Linked DNA regions of Danio rerio. The protein of the gene in region 5 purifies or fractionates together with the protein of the main gene of each other region. This does not show direct contact. Links are inferred from orthologs where the notes say so. Each region holds a gene or a part of one and is shown on either strand. Other genes may lie near its edges.

Evidence for each region. Proteins that work in one complex are often made in the same cells at the same time.
Region 1: the proteins of ddx39b (region 5) and hnrnpua purify together in Homo sapiens (affinity purification with mass spectrometry, with the first as the bait; 3 studies listed by BioGRID). This does not show direct contact. The link is inferred for Danio rerio from reciprocal best matches to the Homo sapiens genes DDX39B and HNRNPU.
Region 2: the proteins of ddx39b (region 5) and lmna purify together in Homo sapiens (affinity purification with mass spectrometry, with the first as the bait; 4 studies listed by BioGRID). This does not show direct contact. The link is inferred for Danio rerio from reciprocal best matches to the Homo sapiens genes DDX39B and LMNA.
Region 3: the proteins of ddx39b (region 5) and rbm15 purify together in Homo sapiens (affinity purification with mass spectrometry; 3 studies listed by BioGRID and IntAct, with this or other methods). This does not show direct contact. The link is inferred for Danio rerio from reciprocal best matches to the Homo sapiens genes DDX39B and RBM15.
Region 4: the proteins of ddx39b (region 5) and myh9b purify together in Homo sapiens (affinity purification with mass spectrometry, with the first as the bait; 4 studies listed by BioGRID). This does not show direct contact. The link is inferred for Danio rerio from reciprocal best matches to the Homo sapiens genes DDX39B and MYH9.

What each region holds. Positions count from the first base shown.
Region 1 is NC_133192.1:12,690,154-12,694,424, forward strand, and holds the start of hnrnpua (heterogeneous nuclear ribonucleoprotein U), read right to left. Parts: upstream 2,801-4,271; 5' UTR 2,677-2,800; coding exon 2,262-2,676; intron 327-2,261; coding exon 212-326; intron 1-211. UniProt on the Homo sapiens protein: DNA- and RNA-binding protein involved in several cellular processes such as nuclear chromatin organization, telomere-length regulation, transcription, mRNA alternative splicing and stability, Xist-mediated transcriptional silencing and mitotic cell progression.
Region 2 is NC_133191.1:33,787,058-33,791,301, forward strand, and holds the start of lmna (lamin), read right to left. Parts: upstream 2,801-4,244; 5' UTR 2,726-2,800; exon of another isoform or gene 2,393-2,725; intron 1-2,392.
Region 3 is NC_133183.1:26,684,728-26,688,703, forward strand, and holds the start of rbm15 (RNA-binding protein 15), read right to left. Parts: upstream 2,801-3,976; 5' UTR 2,654-2,800; coding exon 92-2,653; 3' UTR 1-91. UniProt on the Homo sapiens protein: RNA-binding protein that acts as a key regulator of N6-methyladenosine (m6A) methylation of RNAs, thereby regulating different processes, such as hematopoietic cell homeostasis, alternative splicing of mRNAs and X chromosome inactivation mediated by Xist RNA.
Region 4 is NC_133178.1:3,460,319-3,464,592, forward strand, and holds the start of myh9b (myosin-9), read right to left. Parts: upstream 2,801-4,274; 5' UTR 2,399-2,800; exon of another isoform or gene 581-2,398; intron 1-580. UniProt on the Homo sapiens protein: Cellular myosin that appears to play a role in cytokinesis, cell shape, and specialized functions such as secretion and capping. Required for cortical actin clearance prior to oocyte exocytosis. Promotes cell motility in conjunction with S100A4.
Region 5 is NC_133194.1:29,763,105-29,766,604, reverse strand, and holds part of ddx39b (DEAD (Asp-Glu-Ala-Asp) box polypeptide 39B), read right to left. Parts: intron 2,934-3,500; coding exon 2,815-2,933; exon of another isoform or gene 873-2,814; intron 1-872. UniProt on the Homo sapiens protein: Involved in nuclear export of spliced and unspliced mRNA. Component of the TREX complex which is thought to couple mRNA transcription, processing and nuclear export, and specifically associates with spliced mRNA and not with unspliced pre-mRNA.

The DNA.
Region 1 (4,271 bases), on a different chromosome or scaffold from region 5:
ATTGATTTCATTCTTTAACAGCCCGAGCACTGAGGTGAAAGAGATGCCCTTAATATTATTATAAGCTCAAAATTATTTCAAATGGTCAGTAAAAATGTGTGTTTCTTTGCACTGATGTCAGATCTGGCTCTTTACTGCCAGAACTGCTCATAAATCTTTCAGGTGCAGCGGAACCTCAGGAGTACCAGCAGCCCGACTGCACAATTCTTACCGGCTGTATTTTCTTTCTTCAATAAATTCAAAGTAGGCCCTTCCATGTTCATCTCGGCGTCTCTTTACACCCTTCTTATTCTTCTGTTCATCTTTCTTGTCTTTGTCCGCATCCCCTTTGGAAAACAAACAATAAAGCGTAAGGAAGAGTACCTCCCTGCTGGACCAGGCATGATGTAACATGATGGTCCACAGAATTACTGGAGGATTTATACTCTTGTTTAGGGTATGCATGAATTGCAATGAGCAGTGCTTTAAAAGAAAATTTATGCTCAAGGAGCGACGTCAGACAGTGCGGGTATTGTACACTGCGGGATTGTATGAGTACAGACAGAAGGTTGATGCCAAGACAACTGCAAACTGTGCAATTTTGAGCTGAGTAACACACATTTACATATTCAAATTGCATGCATCTTGAAGAACTGCAAATGTTGTGACATAAAAATTAGCGATGCACCGATACTGAAACCAGTATCGGGTCAATGCTTTGTTAAAATACTTGTACTCGTATCGCAAATGAAATGACGATACCACTCAACAGTATGTCACTACGTTGATTTGTTGTCCTACATGACTTTAATGTCTTAAGACAATAATTAAAAGAGTGGCGAGACTTGACAAGGCCATATGATGCTTTAAAATGCTTTTCTAATGTTCATGACTATAGTATACAAATGAATGAGGTGTCACAGAGCACTGACTGAATCAGATGGCCAATCAGAGATATTGGCTATCCAGAGAAAGGGGCTTGGTTGAAACCAAAACTCAATCAGAGCTGCAGCAATGCAGAGAAAGTGGAAAATAATATACATTTTTTTGAAAATTAAAGCATTATTTTAAATTAAATAATAAATTAAAATAGCATCATAAGGCCTGTTTGATGGTCACAGATGTAGGCTAAAGCCACTAACCCCCCTTTAGCACAAAGGGGGTAGAAGCATCTGCCAAATGACAACAAAGAATACCATGAGGTGCTCCTCAATACTGTAGGGCATCTATGGACCTGAAAAAGTTTAACTTCCACTAAAAACATGTAGTCAATAAACATGAAATATATAGTGTTTGAGTTTTTAGCCCCTTTAAGCAACATATTTTCCAATAGTCTACAGAACAAACCATCATTATACAATAACTTGCCTAATAACCCTTACCTGCCTAGTTAATAATTAATCTAGTTAAGCCTTTGAATATCATTTTAAGCTGAATACTAGTATCTTGAAAATTCTTAAGTAAAATATTATTTACTGTCATCATGACAATAATAAAATAAATCAGTTATTACAAATGAGTTATTAAAACTATTATGGTTAGAAATGTTTTGAAAAAATCTGCTTCTTTTCCGTTAAAAAGAAATTGGGGAAAAAATAAACAGGGGAGCTAATAATTATGACTTCAACTGTGTACTGGTGCAAAGACATTATAAGGGATCAATTAAATAAAATGAATAAATCAAAATGTACATTTTTAATAAAAAAAAATAACAATGGATTTTTTTCATTATTTCTTGCATTTAATTTGCAGATATTTCTCATACTTTAATTAGGTTAATGAAATATGTATTACATTAAGGTTTGACATATGTAGCACAATGTAAAGAAGATGTTGCATTCACCATAAAAATATATATATTGAAAAACTATTGGATAATCAATAAAATTATAAAACACTAAATAAAGGAAATAGGAATAAGAAAATAATTAAATTACGTAAAAATATAAGTTTATATTTTATTAGAAATAAATATTTGAAATAAAAAGAAATACATTGTATTATATTATGCATGTTATTATAATTAATATAATTATGTATAACATTTAGCTATATTAGATTAGAATAAAATAAAATACTTACATACTTAGCAAAGTAAAGCCTATTGCTGTAAATCATATAACCTGAAACTGTAGCAGTAACTCAAGGAGAAACAAATGGGACAGCAGCAATGAGCCCATAACAAACCCCAGTATACGCGTTCTGCTGACAGTATGAATTATTTTAGCCCAATTATACACAAAGTAACTATGAATTACTCGATCTTCATCGTATAATCTCACCCTTGTCAAGAGCCACATCATCCTCATCGAATTTCTCCATCTCTTCATCTTCATCATCATCACCATCATCATCTTTAAGAAGAGCGTCTTCATCCGATTTATCCATCTCTACCCCGGCGTCCTCCTCTTCCTCCTCCATAATATCATCATGCTCGGCCTCCGCGTTTCCTCCATCCTCTTCTTCCTCCTCCATGCTCTCTCCCACCGGGTCCTCCTCCAGGTCTTTGCCGGCGGGGTCTCCTCCGTCCTCGTACCGACGCTCGGAGCCGTTAGTACCAGAGAGCGCCTCCTCGTCTAGTGCGGCCTGCAGGCGCGACATAAGATCCGCCTTCAGCCCTTTATCAGACAGACTCCTTTTCTTTAGCTCGTCCTTCAGCTCGTTCACTTTCAGCTTCTTCACGTTTATAGCGCTCATTGTGACCGTCGTCTTCAGACTTGTGTATTTGAGCAATTATGAACGGAAAATATGAACGGAAAGGGCAGGTTGTTGTGAGCGGACTGTCCGTTAACGCGCGGTGCGGTCACTGTAGGCAGCAGTCGAAGCGGAACAAGGCCAGCTCAGCTTTATATAATCTACCGTAAAGCACGTTATAGCCGAGCGCGTATGAGACTACCGTAAATATCGATATTGATTTAAGATAATAGACGTAGTTTTACAATTTTTAGAAATTGTATTGTCTGTGTGGCTTTTTTGTTTAAAACTTAAGGCATTTTTTGTTCTGTTTTTAAACATGGAATTTAATTAGATATTTTACAGTCCTTTAGATAGGGTGGCTCTTTTTTCTGAAAAAGTGGACCTTTTCTGCAGTTATTCACCTCATTTTCTATTCAATTATGAGGTTTAAATAATGCATTGTAGTGACATTTTAATTACTAATCTTCGCCGAATCTTTTTGACGTACTAAAAATATTTTCTAGAGTGCTTATACTGCTTTATTACAAAGAATTTGCATTTAAACTTTAATTTACTACAGTTATATAAATAATGCTATGAGTTTTATTCAAATAAAAAATTAATAAAGAAAAATAAAAACATACTTATTTTTAAATACAAATTTTTTATCATCCATCATTTTAAAAATATATGGTCAAACTTGTTTTAAACTAAAAAGTGTAGCAGAAAAAAAAAACTCACCATCTCATTTCACTTTCCTCAGAAAGCCAGAATTTGGCCACTTGATGAGCAGATGAACATGATGTATATAAATTAATTTCTGCCTCTCCTGATGCCTCTATTTTGATTTCCCATTTTATAGCCGTTTGTAATAATCAGTTTGACATATCTACTTTGTATTTGAAAGATTCTTGAAAGATTTACAGATTATAATTACCAATGGGGACTGGAAAAAGTCTATCAAGGTCATAATAAATACATAAGAGTGTGAAGATGCAAAAACCTCTAAATGCCTTTTGAAACATTTCCCTAAAAGGAGTATTTTTTATGTGTATTCATATCACTTAAATGGCAAAGATTAAGTCCTTTTCCTGGGCTTTAAAGTAAAATATCTCAACATAAACAAAGGATGCTGAGAAAAAAGTAAATTTTCTATGGAAATTTCAGATGTTTTTTGCATCTAAACTCTTGACATGTTCTATTAACTCAAGACACCTAATCCAATATAAAAGTGTGCATTGGCTTCATTATTCTATAGGGTTAAGCTTAATAAATTCTAGTCCTCTATCTCCTGTAAATGTAATAAATGTGAAGCTGAAGGCTTCATAGGACATATTTTTTGGTCATGGCCAAAACCTTTTGAGATTTGGAGCAAAATGTTCAGATTCTACTCTGGGGCTTGTTCTTATGACCTTGCCCCTGATCCAGCAATCACTGTTTAGGTTTATCTGACTCAATTTGTAGGTTCAGTCATCAAATTAAAAAAGCTGTCCAATATAGAATGGTGATATATAGCTAAAAAACATTATTCTTTGTTTATGAAAAAGGCATCAAAACCACTTTAAATCCTTAAATCCTGGCTTTCAGAATTTTCTGCCACTTTACATTTAGAGAGA
Region 2 (4,244 bases), on a different chromosome or scaffold from region 5:
GCTAGACGAGTAACACTATCAGTTCTGTACTTTCTCTTCTCATTCTCTCGTCGCATTACCTCACACAACCACTGCATTCCCACATAACAATGTGATTCCCTAGAGCAAATGTCTCTCCACCCGAGTGGCATTTCTGACATCTGTGACAACTAAAAGCAGATTATGTCACAATCAGGAGTCACGATCAGAAGTTCATTGTGTGCAGTGATTTCGGGGAACAACCTGCAGATTTTTTTGGGGAGAATTTGGGAAATTTTGCTGAGGCAGATGAGGTGGATTTGTGCTCTAGACTGGTGGTCGAAAGGTGGAGATGTTAGGACATACAGTATGTGTCAAATTACAAGACATGACAGGTTCCAACCAGAAAGGAATTTCGTGACACCTCCGAATTACAGTGTTTAAATCATTTTCACATTACTTCAAATGTAATGGCATTTAACTGTTAATATAACACTTAAAATCATTCCCAGTGATTAATTTAAGACTACAAATGAGTACAGCCTGAAATCACTGTATTTATTTGAGTAAAATGCTATGCTGTTAAAACTGTTGAGTCATGCATTGGGAATGAACATACAAATCGTTCTGTCTTTCTCTATGAACATCCCTAAAATGCCACTGCTATATGTACTACAGTAAACATGGCAGATTAAAACAAAAAAATACAAAGTACAAAAAAAATTATAAAATAATAGTAAATAAAACGGCAATAAAATAAGTAGCTAAAGTACAAAAATTACTAAAACCGATATATATAATAAAAGATGTTATTTTTTAACCCAGACATTTAAAAAGAACTTATTTTACAGAAGTAATTACAATATAAACTACGAATATAAATACTATATATATATATATATATATATATATATATATATATATATATATATATATATATATATATATATATATATATTATTTGCATGGCACATGGGTAAAGAAATCTTTTGGCTTTAGACATCCCCATTCTCACGAGTTTCTAAGTTCTCTTACCCTTCCAACTGAGTTTGTTCTTCCGAGGCAATCTGGAAACACCTCAGTGCTGCTGCGAATAGCCTTGTAAATACCTGTCCTGCTTATTTAAATCACCTGCTTGATTAAACTAATTAAATTAAAATTGACCGGCACAATGGATGGTTTTGTAAATAATACTGAAAACAGTTTAATATAGGTTTCTCTGAAACGGTGAATATTTCACTTTCATTTTATTTAGGCTAGATTATTATTTTATTTAACAAATCAGTTTGCGTTTTGGCGCTGAAGCATATAGTGAACTGGTTTTGTAGCACTCAGATAATATTTATTATTGTTGTTTATCTAGTAGATAACCAACAAATAAAAAATGTATTCAAATTAGGATACAAGGACGTGCTTTCATTTTCTCAATCTCACTCGCGGCAAGTTCAGTTGAGGGAGTGTTTAAGCAAATCATATACATATTTATATATATATATATATATTATATATATATATATATATATATATATATATATATATATATATATATATATATATATATATATATATATATATATATATATATATATAAACAGGAAACATAAGTTTGATCCTATCAGTTTCGTAACAAATGCCCTTAAATAATAGGCCTATAGCGTTTGACAGCAAGCACCAGTGCTTTTCAGGTTGAAATATGAATAAGGGATGATGGGGCAGGGTGGTGCTGGATATGTGCGTTCTTTTGAATAAAATCCTGCAGGCCCCTGACTTTAGATATTACTCTAGAGAATCATTCTAATACTAGCTCTAAAGTGACGTTGGTGAAGTAGCAATGGTTTTTGCTGTTTTGACATCAGCTTCAGATGTGAATGAATGGTAAAAGAAAGTAGTTCCTCATTCAAAAGAATTTTTAGACTCTGTTTGATTTTCTTTTTTAAACACAATAATGCCGTCAAACTGTTGTATAAACGCATTATCACACGAGTAACAGTGCGATATGACTGTTTATTGTCACTAGTGGAACACTAAAGCATGCAAACACGTTTACGCACGGCTCCCACCAGTGCTGATATACAGCCATATCACACTGCTACTCGTGTAAAATTGCTATTGCTCATATATAAAATATAATAACTTTCAACTAATAAAAATGAAAATAAAAAAAACTTCAATAAAATATTTTATTAAATAAAATATATGTATTAAATGAACTTTAAATACTAAAACTACTAAAACTTAAAAATAAATTAGTAAAAAAATACAAAAGAACAAATAGGCCCACACTTAAAAAATGAAAACTAAAAAAAATATCAAATAAAAGCTACATTTTACTTTTTAATACTATAACCTCAACTGTAATTGTAGCGGTAAAAAAACGAATATTTTTTATAAAAAACTAACAACATTTAATAATTAGCAGCAGCATGGCATGCATGTAATTTTTATAGAATACTTAATGTGATTGAGAATACTGTGAGTATAGCCTTCAAATTTTATTCTTTTTTTTTTTTTTTTTACAAAATTGTATATAATTTAAGGCATGCCAAAATGACTAATTCAGGACTAGAGACGGGAACTGCCTGGGATCAGCAAGGATATATTTGAGAAATAATTATGCTGTTAAAACTGTTGAGTCATGCATTGAGAATGAACATACAAATCTATCCATTTATAAACACGACATAAATGCTGTTGCTACGGACTACAGTAACCACCGCAGAAGATTAAATGTTTGACCAAAGATTCAGACAGGGAAATAGTGACTCACAGTTGCCGAAGCCCAAAATCAGGAATTGTTTGCAGGCGTCATGGATCCACCATCGCCGCACACTAGCAGAGCAGTGAGTGCAGCAGAATGATGGAATCGTGCGGCGTCCTCTAGTGGCCGATACATAGAAACGCAGAAATTTACCGTGGTCTACAAAAACATACACAGGTAATGAATTTTGACTGAAGTATTAAAAAAATCACACATTTTTATCAGGCTCCCATTTAGTAACTTGACGAATAGCAATGAAAATTTTAGTAGCTTGATGTATATGCCTTATTTTCTTAGCATTATAGTGACTGTGAAAGATCCTCATGATTCTGATCAAAACAAACAAAAGGTAAGATTTGCTAACTTATTCTTATTTTTTTTAGCACATAGACATTTGGCTACATGAAACATTAGGTCAAGACTATTTAACTGAAAGTCTGATTGACAAAACCCTGTAAAACCCTGGTTGCTAACTTTTTAGCAACTTGTCATAATACCCTAGCTTGTTTCCCTAAAAGCACCCAGCAACAAATTTAGCTATTTTTAACATTCATTTGGCTTCATTTAGCAACTTTTTAAAGAGTGTCTCAAATCAAAAGAGCAGTAGCTACTAGTGACTGCAGGCTTCGGCTAACTCTAAATCTAAATAGCTGGGCACAGAAGAGCAGCCAAAATAGTTCCTGGTAAACCAGAGAGACTGAAACGCATTTCTAGGACAGCAATTCAAGCACCCTTAGAATTTTTAGAAATTGTTCTTCCTGATCCGTCCAGTAGGCGGTGGTTGGGTTAAGGCATAGGGGTGGGGTAAGGCCATATTTGATCCTAGAAATGTAATTCTGAAACTGCAGCCTCTGGTTGTGCAGCACCAGCAATATTTGTGGGCTGAATGCAAGAGCAGTAGATAATATTTCACATTTTGTTAACAACCATTAACATGTAGGCTATATTTTTTGTACATTTAGATAGCATTAACTACCAATACATTGATATAATTAAACATATTTCAAATAATGTTTTGCTAAGATGGGCAGTCTATTTAAAAAACTCATGGATTCATTAATTCATTCACTTTTCACCTAAGTCCCTTTATTAATCAGTGGTCGCCACAGCAGACCTATCCCTGGGAAACATCCATACACACTTATTCACACACATACACTACGGACAATTAAGCTTACCCGATTCATCTATAGCCCATGTCTTTGAACCTGTGGGGAAAACCCAGAGAAAACCTACGCGAACATAGGAGAACATGCAAACTCCACACAGAAATGCCAACTGACCCAGCAGGCACTCGAACCAGCAACCTTTTAGCTGTGAAGCAACAGCTCTAACCGCTGCGTCACTTCGCCACCCCAAAACTCATGGATTATTAGTTTAAAGATACATCTAAGCCCAGCAACCCCCCCCCCCCCCCCCCCCATCCCATTTTACATAAACAGAACAATATGGTTAACATATTTTTTGTCAGTTCTTACAGACTGTGAAGAAGAGATGGTGGAAGAGACTCACCTCTTTTTTCAGAGCT
Region 3 (3,976 bases), on a different chromosome or scaffold from region 5:
CTCTAGTACCACTTCTGCTTTAGAGAGCATGCAATTAAGAGACATTAAGAGAAGCTTGCATTTAACAATACTTTAGTGTGTATTATGACTGTTAAGATGCTCCTCGCACAACGATCATGACCAGGAAGTCCTCTTCTGTTTTGGCAAGAGCTTTCGCAGAAGAATCTAAGAACTGCTGAGAGAAATCACATGGTGGAAATGCGTGCAGGACGCCAGTGTTGTCCTTATCTCTACTGCCGCCGACGGGCAAACTGATGACCCCGGCGGCCTGCTTTTGCTTCAGGTATGAAACCAGGTTGCGGAGAGGCCTCTGCGTGGATGCTGCTGGGTCTGATGATGAAGTCTCCTCAGAGCTGCCTGGAACTGCCAGTAGAACTGCGTAGCCTCCTGGGCCTGCCACTTTGATGCGCCGAGACACCTCGTCGATCTTGGGCTGGTCTAGACGAAGCCGTTGTGTGATGCGCAGCTGAGAGACTTTTCCACCCGTGCTGCCGTCGATGAGAAGGCTGGTGGCGACGCTCAGGTCCCCCTCCAGGAGGTGCATGCTGGCTGGGAAGTTACTGTTCTTGAGGAGCAGCATGCCATTCCAGGCCATGCTCAGCTTCCCCCCTGCGTCCTGTTTTGAAGCTTGGTTGCTTTTGGAGCTGCTTTCGGATCTGTCCCTCTTGGATGCACCTTTAGCTGAATCGCCCGCTTTGCGCTTTCGTTCTGCAGGGCTTGCGCCGATGCTGGACTCAGAGAGGTTGCTGTTGCTTTTGATGCGTTTCTCACCGGGAACTCGGTCCAGGCTGCTGCGGCTCTCTCGTGCTGGGGACACCCGGTCTGCTCTCGCTGGACGCTCAGAGTCACTGAAACGTCCGTCTCGGCTGCTGCCGCCTGGGCTGCCCTCAAGCGACGGGGGTCTGCGACGGCGGGCCGCCCACTCACTGCTGCTGTCAGGCGAACACTCCAGATGTCTGCCGTCCTCCATGAGCCGCCGTTTTCGTGCAGCTTCTCTGCCTGGCAGCTCTCGCTCCAGTGACCAGGCCTCTCGCCGTCGTTCACGCTCTAAGTGTTCAAGGGGCTCAAATGCAGGAGTTCGTACACGTTCACGAATAGTAGGTGCTGGCCACTCAGCCCCAGCATAGAGTTCTCTTTCTCTGAAGTGCAGTGGCGGAGGAGTCCGTTCTCTGACCCTGATGGCTTCAGGGGTGGCACGATGAACGAAAGACTCAGCCATGATTTCATAATGTTGCAGGGGGAGGGGCTGCAAGAACTGTTGTTGGTAGCGATGCTCTGTGTCAGCAAAGTCCACCCTCAGCCTCCTGTCAGGACCACCAAGAGGAAATCCACGCATGTGTGTGCAGGCTGCCTGAGCAGCGTCCAGGCTTTCATACTGAATATAAGCCCAGGTGTCCCCTTTTCTGTAGTCTATAGTCCTAATAGTTCCAAAGCGGTCAAATTCCCGGGCTAATGCAGTCAGAGGCACCCAAGGGCCAAGACCACCCACCCATAGTCTTGTGGTTGGGGTGGCTTTACCATATCCAATTTTTATGGGGTTTCGGCCCACAACTTTCCCAGACATGCTAATTTTAGCTCTGTGAGCCATGTCCAAATTCTCAAATTTAAGGAAGCCATAGGTGCTGCTCTGGCCACGAGTGGGTCTTTTAATGTCCACCTCAGTGATTGTCCCAAATCGTTCAAAAGCCCTCCTCAAATCGTTTTCAGTCACAGTAATATCCAAGTTACCCAAAAACAGTGTGCGGTTGGCTCTCTGGTCGTCCTCTGGAGAGATAAAGTCCTCCTCACGGAAAGGAGCGGCTCGCTCTGCTATGTATGCGGGCCGCGCCCTCGCTTCATAAAAGGCAAACTCTCTTTCTCTTTCCAGCTCTCTGGGCAGAGGCGGGGGTGGGGGAGGAGGAAGCCGACCCAGTGCTAACTGCTGTAACCGGTAGTCCCTGTAGCCCAGGCCGGTTGGAGAGAGCGGCCTCTGAGTATGCAAATGTCTATGGCCTGCAACAACAGAGAAATGATCCTCCTTCACCGGAGAGCGACTCCTCCGCCTGTTCAAGTAAACTGCCTCGATTTTTAAAGGACGGTCGTAGAGCACCAGCCGGCCTCGTGCGTGCTTTGCCGCCCTGGCATCATCCGGTCTCCTAAAGTTGACGAATGCGATTCTCTCGTCGTTCACTCGGCTGATTTTGACGCTCACGTCACCAAATTTTTTGAATTCATGAAAGAGGCCGTCCTCGATTTCCTCGTCACTCAGCTGCGAGCCAAGCTCGCTGATTTTTAAAGTTTTGTACTCACTTTCGTTTGTGGGAAGCGGTGCGCGCGCCTCCCCGCGCGAGTTGGTGCGCGCCGCCTCTAAGGACAGACTCGAGGCGTGATTTTTGCCGCTTGAGCTCGCAACAGGGCTCGTGTAACCGTGGTTATTACCAGTCCGACTGGATACATGTCCGTCAAATTCCCGTCCGTCTCTTTTATCTCCAAGCAGTCCCCGTCGTGCAGAGCCCCCGTCGCTTTTAGACGAACTATTGCCGTTGTTGCTTCCTCCGCCAGAATTCGAGATAACCCCCATTTTCTTACTGGTCGGATGGCTTCCTCCCCTGTCTCGTATATCATCCAAGGCCCTTGAACGTTTTTTCACCGGCGACCGCTCTTTACCTTTCATGTTAGATGTCCTCTGGCTTCACGCGCCTAACAAAACACTTTTTTAACTGTAATGCTACCGCAACGTCAACGAATTTGCACGATAAACTGAATAAATTGTTCAGTGTCCCTGCGGCAAAACAACCGCATACGCCATCTTGTCAAGACTAAAACATGACCCGCCCGTCGACTTTGATTGGTTTGAATCTCTGAGAAACGACAGCGCTATTGGCTGATCCGTCTGTCAATCTAAAGCACTAGTACAGCGCCCAGTCTCGCTGTACACCATTTTAGCTTCAAAAGCCAAATGTTTACTATAGCCACTTTATAAAACACAGAGGTGACATTCAACTAACCACACATATAGTCTTTGAGAACATGTACTGCCAATATTATATTTGCTTCTTAAACCATATTTATTAATCATCTCGATAAATCTACAAAGAGTGCTTTGTATAGGCTATTTTTAAAATTAAACGGTGTTTAACTTTAATAGATGCTAAGAGTCTGAGTTTCACCTACATGTTATTTCTTATAAATTTAAATGAACTGTGCAATCTTTATAAAACGTAAGTAATCCAAATAAAAAAAAACTAAAACATTCTCGTTGTTCACTTGATGTCCAACAGATGGTGGTGTTTGCCTTTCACAGAGGTGAACGGACGTGAAAAAACAGCCTTTTAACCATGTCGGTCAGCTATAGATGAGCATTTTCCATGGGTTTTAGCCATTGGTTTTAGCCTAATAACTGAAATAATTTCTTAACTAAAACAATGCAGATCTCTGATTATATGCCCATGTCTGTGAATTTTTTTTTATGTTAAATTGTAAAAAATAAATAAATAAATAAATAAATAAAAGTAATGTTATTGCCTTTAAATTAGTTAAAATTTATCTTAAAACAATTTAGTGTTTTACAATTTGCATGCTTTACTCATACCCTCAGGGACCATTATAGTTTTAACTTATACAATTATCAATTCAACCATCAAAATTAAAAAAAATTACCCCCAAATTATTATTTTTTTCAATGAAGAAAAATAGGAATATATTTATAGGACAATGCTTTGAACTTAATACAAAAACGTCCAAAACCTTAAATGAGTGATAATAAAACAAAATACAACTATTTTAAAAACTTTATCATGCACATAAACACATTCATCCAATGTTGATTCACCAGAAGACAAATTGAACAGCCAACGTGTCATTTATTTATTTTTTACAATGCACAAACTGCATTCAAAATCAAACACTTTCTTGAGTATTTGAGTAGGCTACATACTTTGAAAACACGCCCTACATAATGAACATAGTATTGTTTGAACAATCTAGAACTACAAGA
Region 4 (4,274 bases), on a different chromosome or scaffold from region 5:
GTGCGGTTCGCTTTCACACTGCAAAGTTTCTAATCGGACCAAAAGAGCTAAAACAAGTCACGTGCGAGTAAACTCTCCTTACATTGGTCAGAGTGTCAGGGTTTATTTTGCAGCGTCCCGCTCAGCTGTCAGGAGAGGTGGTGGTTTGGTGGTGATTGACAGGGTGCGCGCGCGTGACGTGTCTGAGGATAGACGCGGTGGGGAGGGGTGAGAAGGGTGCGCGATGATGCCTATTTGAGGACTGGGAGAGAGACACGAGATTACCGGGAGATCATCACTCGTTTGCGGGCATCCGGAGACTCACGAAACTTCCCGCCTTACTCATAATTCTCTCTTCATATAGCCGTAAGCCTATTACATATCCATAAAACACTGTGATATAACCGCGCTCGGATCAGATCGCTTTCTCACTGCAATCGAACCGCTCCAGGGTTCGTTTCAATCGAGCCGAGACCACCTCATTCAAGCGATCTCGGAGCGATTACTTTGGCGCGGGACAGAGCGCGATTGCCCTGTTCACATATGCCAATCGAACCGCGCTAACTGGGCAAACGAGATACGTTCCGAAACAAAAGTGTAGGTGTGAAAGCACCCTTAATCATTACTGAGAGTTGATGATCAGTGCACTAGGCTATAGGTGCTGACTTCATGTTCATGTTTAATTTGATATCAGACAAATAATGGACCATACTAAGTTATAAAAGAGTGGTCATGCTCACACCTTTTAATGCACGACTTGGAAAACAATAGCTGTACAAATTCCACGCACACAAACACATTAGCTAAAGTCCTCTTGTTCATCATTAGGAGTTGACAAGGCATAATTACCCTGTCAGATTTGTTCAAATCACTCAAACCAAGAGCAAGCTGGCAAAGTACCATTTTACACTTATTTAAGCAATCTCTATATAATGATGGATATAGCATAGTGCATTTGCTCTTTTAAGCATTTATTTAATCTCTGCATGTATACATTGAATTACTACATCTTCCACTACATCATATGCAACTTTTATTGTGCACTAAAAAGCAATTTTAAAAGCTGCAACTAAATTACAGTCAACTGTTGACCAAATAAATATATCCACTGAGTCTGTATTGAACTCAGAAGCTTTAGGCCTCGAAAAACTGTTCCCCACAATTACGATGTTGTGGTTGAGTTCGACTCGTAAATATGATTTTTTGGACAGGACTTGGACGCAGCAGCTCTGTGCGCAGTATAAATGCCGCAGGGATTGAGGGAGTCTTATGCGTTTCCTTAACCAATGAAGAGAAGCTACAACAAAATCCAGAATGAGACCAGCATGTGCTTTTACTGGGTCACAACGTCCTAGACATACTCGCTCAAAGAAAACCAGGTCACACACACACACACACACACACACACACACACACACACACAGGTCAGGTGTGTACTGCAGACGTCTTCTAAGAAAGTGAAACTGGTGTTCATTTCAATAATATTATTTGCTCTATGGCACTGAATAACACACACACACACACACACACACACACACACACACTTATAACACTATTACTAGCAGCAAACAGAATGATGACAAAGATAAATGCAGTACACACTCACATCAGCATGAATCTGAGAGCTCACATGGATTACACACAGATTTGTGTGGTTATAAGACACACCCGACAAAATCACAACTAAATCTGAGCATAAAGCTAAAGTAGCTGCCAATCACTCACTTCAGAGATTCATCAACATCCTGTTCATAACAATCAAGAACCAATAAAGCATTAGAGGGTTTCTGAAATGAAATATGCTAATTGCTGGACACATATTCAGAAAGCAGCCAACAACACGTATATCAAAATACACAGAAATGCAACAAGGCCACACACCAGAAGGACGAGCTCGCGCAGCGCGCCCCCGCGAATGACCGTGTGCACTCTTCCTTTCAAATATTAACCAAGTTTCTTGCACACAAATGAAATTTGTCCGGTTGAAGAAAGCGCGCACCAATGTCTGCGGGAGCACGCAGCGCGATCACACCCTCATCGAACTTTGGGAGCGCGCGTAACCTATTTCCATCTGTCTGTAACTAACTAGAACTCTCTAGAAGAGTCAGAAACTACGTTTATTTGCGTCCAAGTTTACTTTCCTGCTGTGTTAACAAACCGCTAATACAGATTCGTCCTTAAAATCGGGCGGATAACTGAAAACGCGCCGCTTGGCCCAGTTTTAACGCGAGCGATGACGTAATGAGCGCCCGTGAAACGTCACTCGCTAGCGCTCAATGACATCATGCTCCGTTTGCAGTCGCACTGCACCCTACTTTCGCGCAAACAGCATTTTCTGTGAAAATTAACGGGTTTCCGCGTGCCCGTTGAGGCCCGCGCGAGCCGGTGTTTCTGCGCTCGAGCACTTCCTGAAACTCACCGCGCGGCTGTCCGTGCCGATCGGACGCGTCACAGGTTATCTTCGCAAGAAATATCGATCAACCGTAACGATTTCACCACAACAAGTTTGCAAGTGCAGCAAAACCAGGCCGCGTCACTCCAGGTCGCTGCTCACACTAGCTGCGCTTCCTGTTTCTCCGCGCGGCGACTGAATGGATCTGCGGAGGAAACGGAACCGTCCACCCGGTGCTTTACCTGCTAATCAGATGCAGACGCTCGGAGTTCGGGGGATGGTTGTCAGAAACTCCAGAGGCTCAGTGTGGATCCGTGTCGCGTGCTCCAGACTTCCCTTTTCAATCCACTGAAGCTGCGCACAAGTTGGCTCTCTTCACTCGGCTCTCTTTTTTTCTTCCTTTCTTTCTCTTCCCTCCCTCTTCCACTCGTAGTTGAACTCCGTCCTGCTGTAATGGTTCGGGGTGCGGTCCCGGTGGGGCGGAGTCTGCGGCACGTAACCGCCCCTTTCCTGAATCTCCGCCAATCACAGTCCGCTCGCTCTGCATTCCCGAAGGCTTCGGCCAATGACAGGCGGCGTGTGGGCGTGCCAGAGCGGGTAAAAGTCCGCGTCACAGGGTGAACTTGAAATAGTTGGGCCGCAGGGCCCCGTATGTGTGCTTAATGTCTGAGGTATGTGCGCGACTTTGGGCTTTTGTGACCATATAAGTCGCCGGACCGTGTTTACACGCACACACACACGCGCAGGAATGGAGGAATGTCTGGAATCAGGAACTTTCTCTCCTTCTTTTAAATAAATAAATACATAATGGGTGTCAGTGTTGACAGGCATTTCACAATTTACAGAGTTTATTGGATCATTTCAATATTTATGTACGGATAGTTTATTTTAGCCTACTATTATTACACGATATTTCAATATTGTCCCGTCACAGATAATATCAATCTCTATCTGTGCGTCTATCTCATTGATTTGCATATCATTTGACTGAAAATCATACAATGCTTGATGCAGCTTTTGAATAATAACAGGCATGTGTATTAAACCATTGATTTTAAAGGACTGATTGATGATATTGCTGCTTTCTCAGCTAGCTATGAACTTCAGAAACACATTGACACTTAGTCAATTCAACGCATGAAAAATCAAACTAAAATCAGGCAAATCTGAACGAATAACACATCTCAGCACACATAAAAATAAATGTTTATTGAAATCTTTATCCTTTAAAAATCTATAATTATGTATAGTAGTGTTTTTGAACTATAGTAGGGTACTTTAATTAATCTGCTGTGTACGTCTTCTAATACAGCAACTAGCAATATAAACAAATTACATAATACTATGTATACTAGGCGACATACATAATGTAAATTAAAATAATTTATTTTATATTTTATTATTTTGTATTTGATTTTTATTTTATTTTATAATTTTTATTTTATTATTATTATTATTTTATTTTTAGCATTATATTCTTGTTCCTGAAACTCTTTAGTTTCAGTAAAACATAATTTTGTTTATATTTTGAACTGAAAACGCTATTATTTTATATTATATTAATATATTATATAACTGAAAACATATTTTTATATTACTTTATTTTTATTTTATTTTAATATTTTATTTTTAATTATTTTATTTTGTTATTATTAATGTATTTTATTTTTTATTATCATAAGTTTATTTTATATTTTATTATTTTTATTTTATTACTATTTTATTTAGGCGACACAGTGGCGCAGTAGGTAGTGCTGTCGCCTCACAGCAAGAAGGTTGCTGGTTCGAGCCTCGGCTGGGTCAGTTGCCGTTTTTGAGTGGAGTTTGTATGTTCTAGTTTCCCCCACAGTTCAAACACATGTGGTACAGGTGAATTAGGTAAGATAAATTGTCCGTAGTGTAT
Region 5 (3,500 bases):
TACTGCTGGATCTCATCTCACAATTGTTGTTATATTTTACCAACAACAAACAACAAATGTGATGTCTCTATCTAACGACTCAATTGTCTTTTGAATCTATAATTTGTTCTCAGGTAAAGAGTTTTGACTGAGCACAAAGATATTTTTGTATATTATATATTTATACGTAAACTGTCAAGTAAACTAATTCTGCACATTTGACTGCATGCTTGCCTTTATTTTCTATATTGTATAAACTTATTGTATTATTGATTGCCACTATTGATTATTAAAACTGATATTCAGCAAAAGAGATGTTTCATACTTTTCAATAAAAGTGAAAGGAGGCAGTTAAAGGCTCCATTTTGTTAAAAATATGTATACAGTGAAGATATTGTTTAGAAAAATTGTAGAGGGGGTGATGTGACTGACGTTATATGGTGTTCAGTACACTGTTCCCTTTGAAGATTTATCGACGTGTCCTCGGGAGTTTGTTTTCCATATCAAACTTACAAAGTCTTAACTTACAAGGAAAGAATGCAAGAACTTTGTGCACTTAATATAAAAAAAACTCCAATCAAATAGACGAACATCTGAAGCCACGCCTCCGTTTTCAGATGTCTCCGTTTTCCCCCATCCACACTGACACAAAGCAGCAGAATTTTAAAACTAAAAAAGCTTCTTCAGCGTTTCTGAATTGCTCCGTTTTTGGCGCTCGAAAACTCCATAGCGTGGACGGAAGGCTCAACTGTAGCACAACTCATGCGTTTTAAAACTAAAACACATTAGTGTAAACAGGGTCTCAGTCTCCGCTAATGAGCTGATGATCTGAATCGGGTGTTTTTGGTTAAAAAGACATGGAAAATATGCAGTACTGGTGGCCCTCCAGGAACATGGTTGGGAAACACTGCCTTAATATATTTAATATGCATTCATGATCCAACTATTTTAATCAATCTACTGCAAAACGTTAGCCTCGAGTTAATTAGCTAACAAACTTTATTTAAGTCTACTGCCTTTCTAGAAATGTAACCGTACTTGGCATAATAACATATTATCAGTTACAGCTGTAACTTTAACAATGTTAAAAAACAAAAACAGAAATTTTGCCACCATGTCAAACATCTATTTCAGTTGCTCAATTTTTACAACCAAGTCCCATCCCACAAGTGAATTATAACTGCCATTTCATGTTGACTTTGAACACTCACTCGCCACCTCACACACATTTCTGCAACACTGTGTAACATTTAGCAGTGGGACGTTCAAAAAACAGATCAATTTGTAAGCCAAATTTATTCAATAGATAGCTTAATTCAAAATATAAAGAACACCCTATAATAAAGTTTGGTATCCAGTCTTATGAGGATCTCATTTAAGATGTTAACTCGGTCCACAGCACTGCTAAATGCATGTATGCACTTACCTTGTTTGTTTAGTCAACTCTATCTTCTCAGCCTATCAATCAAACAGTTATCAATTGTCCCATATAAAGCTCATTTTTTTATATTGAGGTCAACCTAGGTGGTGCTTTGTATTCTGACTAAACGAGCACTAAAGGGTGTTTGAATGCAAAGTTTTGACTAATCATAAGGGTATGACTATTTAGTAAACCCATGTGCCCCCTTAGGTCCCCTAGCAGGTCATTCGATATTTTGTATAGTTGCTTAAAGTTGTGCTTCACTATTTAGTTGTATTGATGTTTTCAGTTGCCACCAGGAGCGTCTCTATCTACACCCGCGCATGTCTCCTCTCTACTCTATGAAGTTTCTTTACAATCTCATCCCTCTCGCTCCAGTCTTCCGCAGCTTAATCCTCCCTTTCTCTCTCTTCTCTCGTCCCTCACACCCGCGCATTCTTTCTTCTCCGCTTCAGGCCAGTTTTACTGCTTTGATTTTAACTTCATGACAGACGGTTTGTCTTTGTTGTTCTTGGGGGCACATGAGGAACTGTGCTAATCACTGACTGTCAGCTAGATTGATGAAGAGCGGCTTTATCATTGGCGAGCCCACCTGAGCTGATTTACGCCGCCAATGATTGAATCTTTTTTATTCCCTTAGTTGATTTCATTGTGCTTTGTTAAAGAGTAATTAACTGCAGGCCCTGGAGTGCCAGGTTGTCGTGAATCTAATGTGGTTTTTAGCAGCTGGCTTGCTTTGTCGGGCCGATACTTTATCGGTTTTAGTTTTGTGCCCCCTTGAGAGTCTCTGGCAGTTTGCAACAAATCTTCAACAAGTGCTTGTGTTCTTAATTAAAGGTTATTTGGGGACAAATCTCCAGGCTGGAATTACAGTTGAGCAGGAACTAAAGCAATTTATCTTGATGAATGGAAACTGAGTGTGAAGTAATATTCAAATGTGAAGGATTGTGTTCACTTGGGACTAAATGTTTTTAAAATGAATTTACAGCCCTGAACTGAAGTGTTTAGGGATTAGGGGAGCATTACTTTGTTACTTTAAAGACGTCCTCTTTAAGATATATTGGATAGACTCTTCATGACTTTAAGAAATGTTGTTAAAGGACCTATTTAAATTTTCAATCGGGCTGAGGCTGATGGATGGTGCATTATCTTTTGGCCAAACGGACCGGGGGTGACTGTGTGCCAAATGCCGACACAGCGCTGCCAGCTGAGGCGGGGATTAAGGACTTAACATCTTTTTTCGCTGTGCCTCTATTAGTTAACAGTCTGTGATTATCAAACAGGCAGGAGAGAGGGGCATTTAGCGCTAGGATGTCTCAGGGAGGTCGTAAATGGATCTCTTTCAGGTGTTTATGATGTGGCCTTGTGAAGGGAAGGAGCTGCTGACATGGTAGTAGTAGGAGAGGCGTAATTACATCTTGCATGAACTTTCTGCAGACAGGACGGATCTCTTTGCTCAGGGTGGCACTGAACATCATGACCTGCTTCTCATGAGGGGTCATTCGAAAGATTTCTTGGACATCCCGACGCATGTCTGCAGAGGATATAAAAAAAGACAAATGTGTTTTTTTCACATATTTTTATCATCATTTACAGAAGAGACACATTTAAATGATAACTATATATATATATATATATATATATATATATATGTGTGTGTGTGTGTGTGTATGTGTGTGTGTGTATGTATGTATATATATATATATATATATATATATATATATATATATACATATATATACATATACATATATATATATATATATATATATATATATATATATATATATATATATACATATACATATATATATATATATATATATATATATATATATATATATATATATATATATATATATATATATATATATATGAGGGGGGTTTCATAACCCTTTAACTTGGCTGCCAAACCATTTTTACTAAAAGGGATAGTTCACCCAAATATTTTTCATCTTTTACTCGCTCTTTACTAGTTTAAAACCTTTATAATTTACATTTTTTACTGGTGAAAACAAAGAATGACATTTTGATAATTGTTGGAAATCTGTAACCATGACTTCCATAGTATTTGTTCTTCCAACTACAGAAGTCAGTGGTT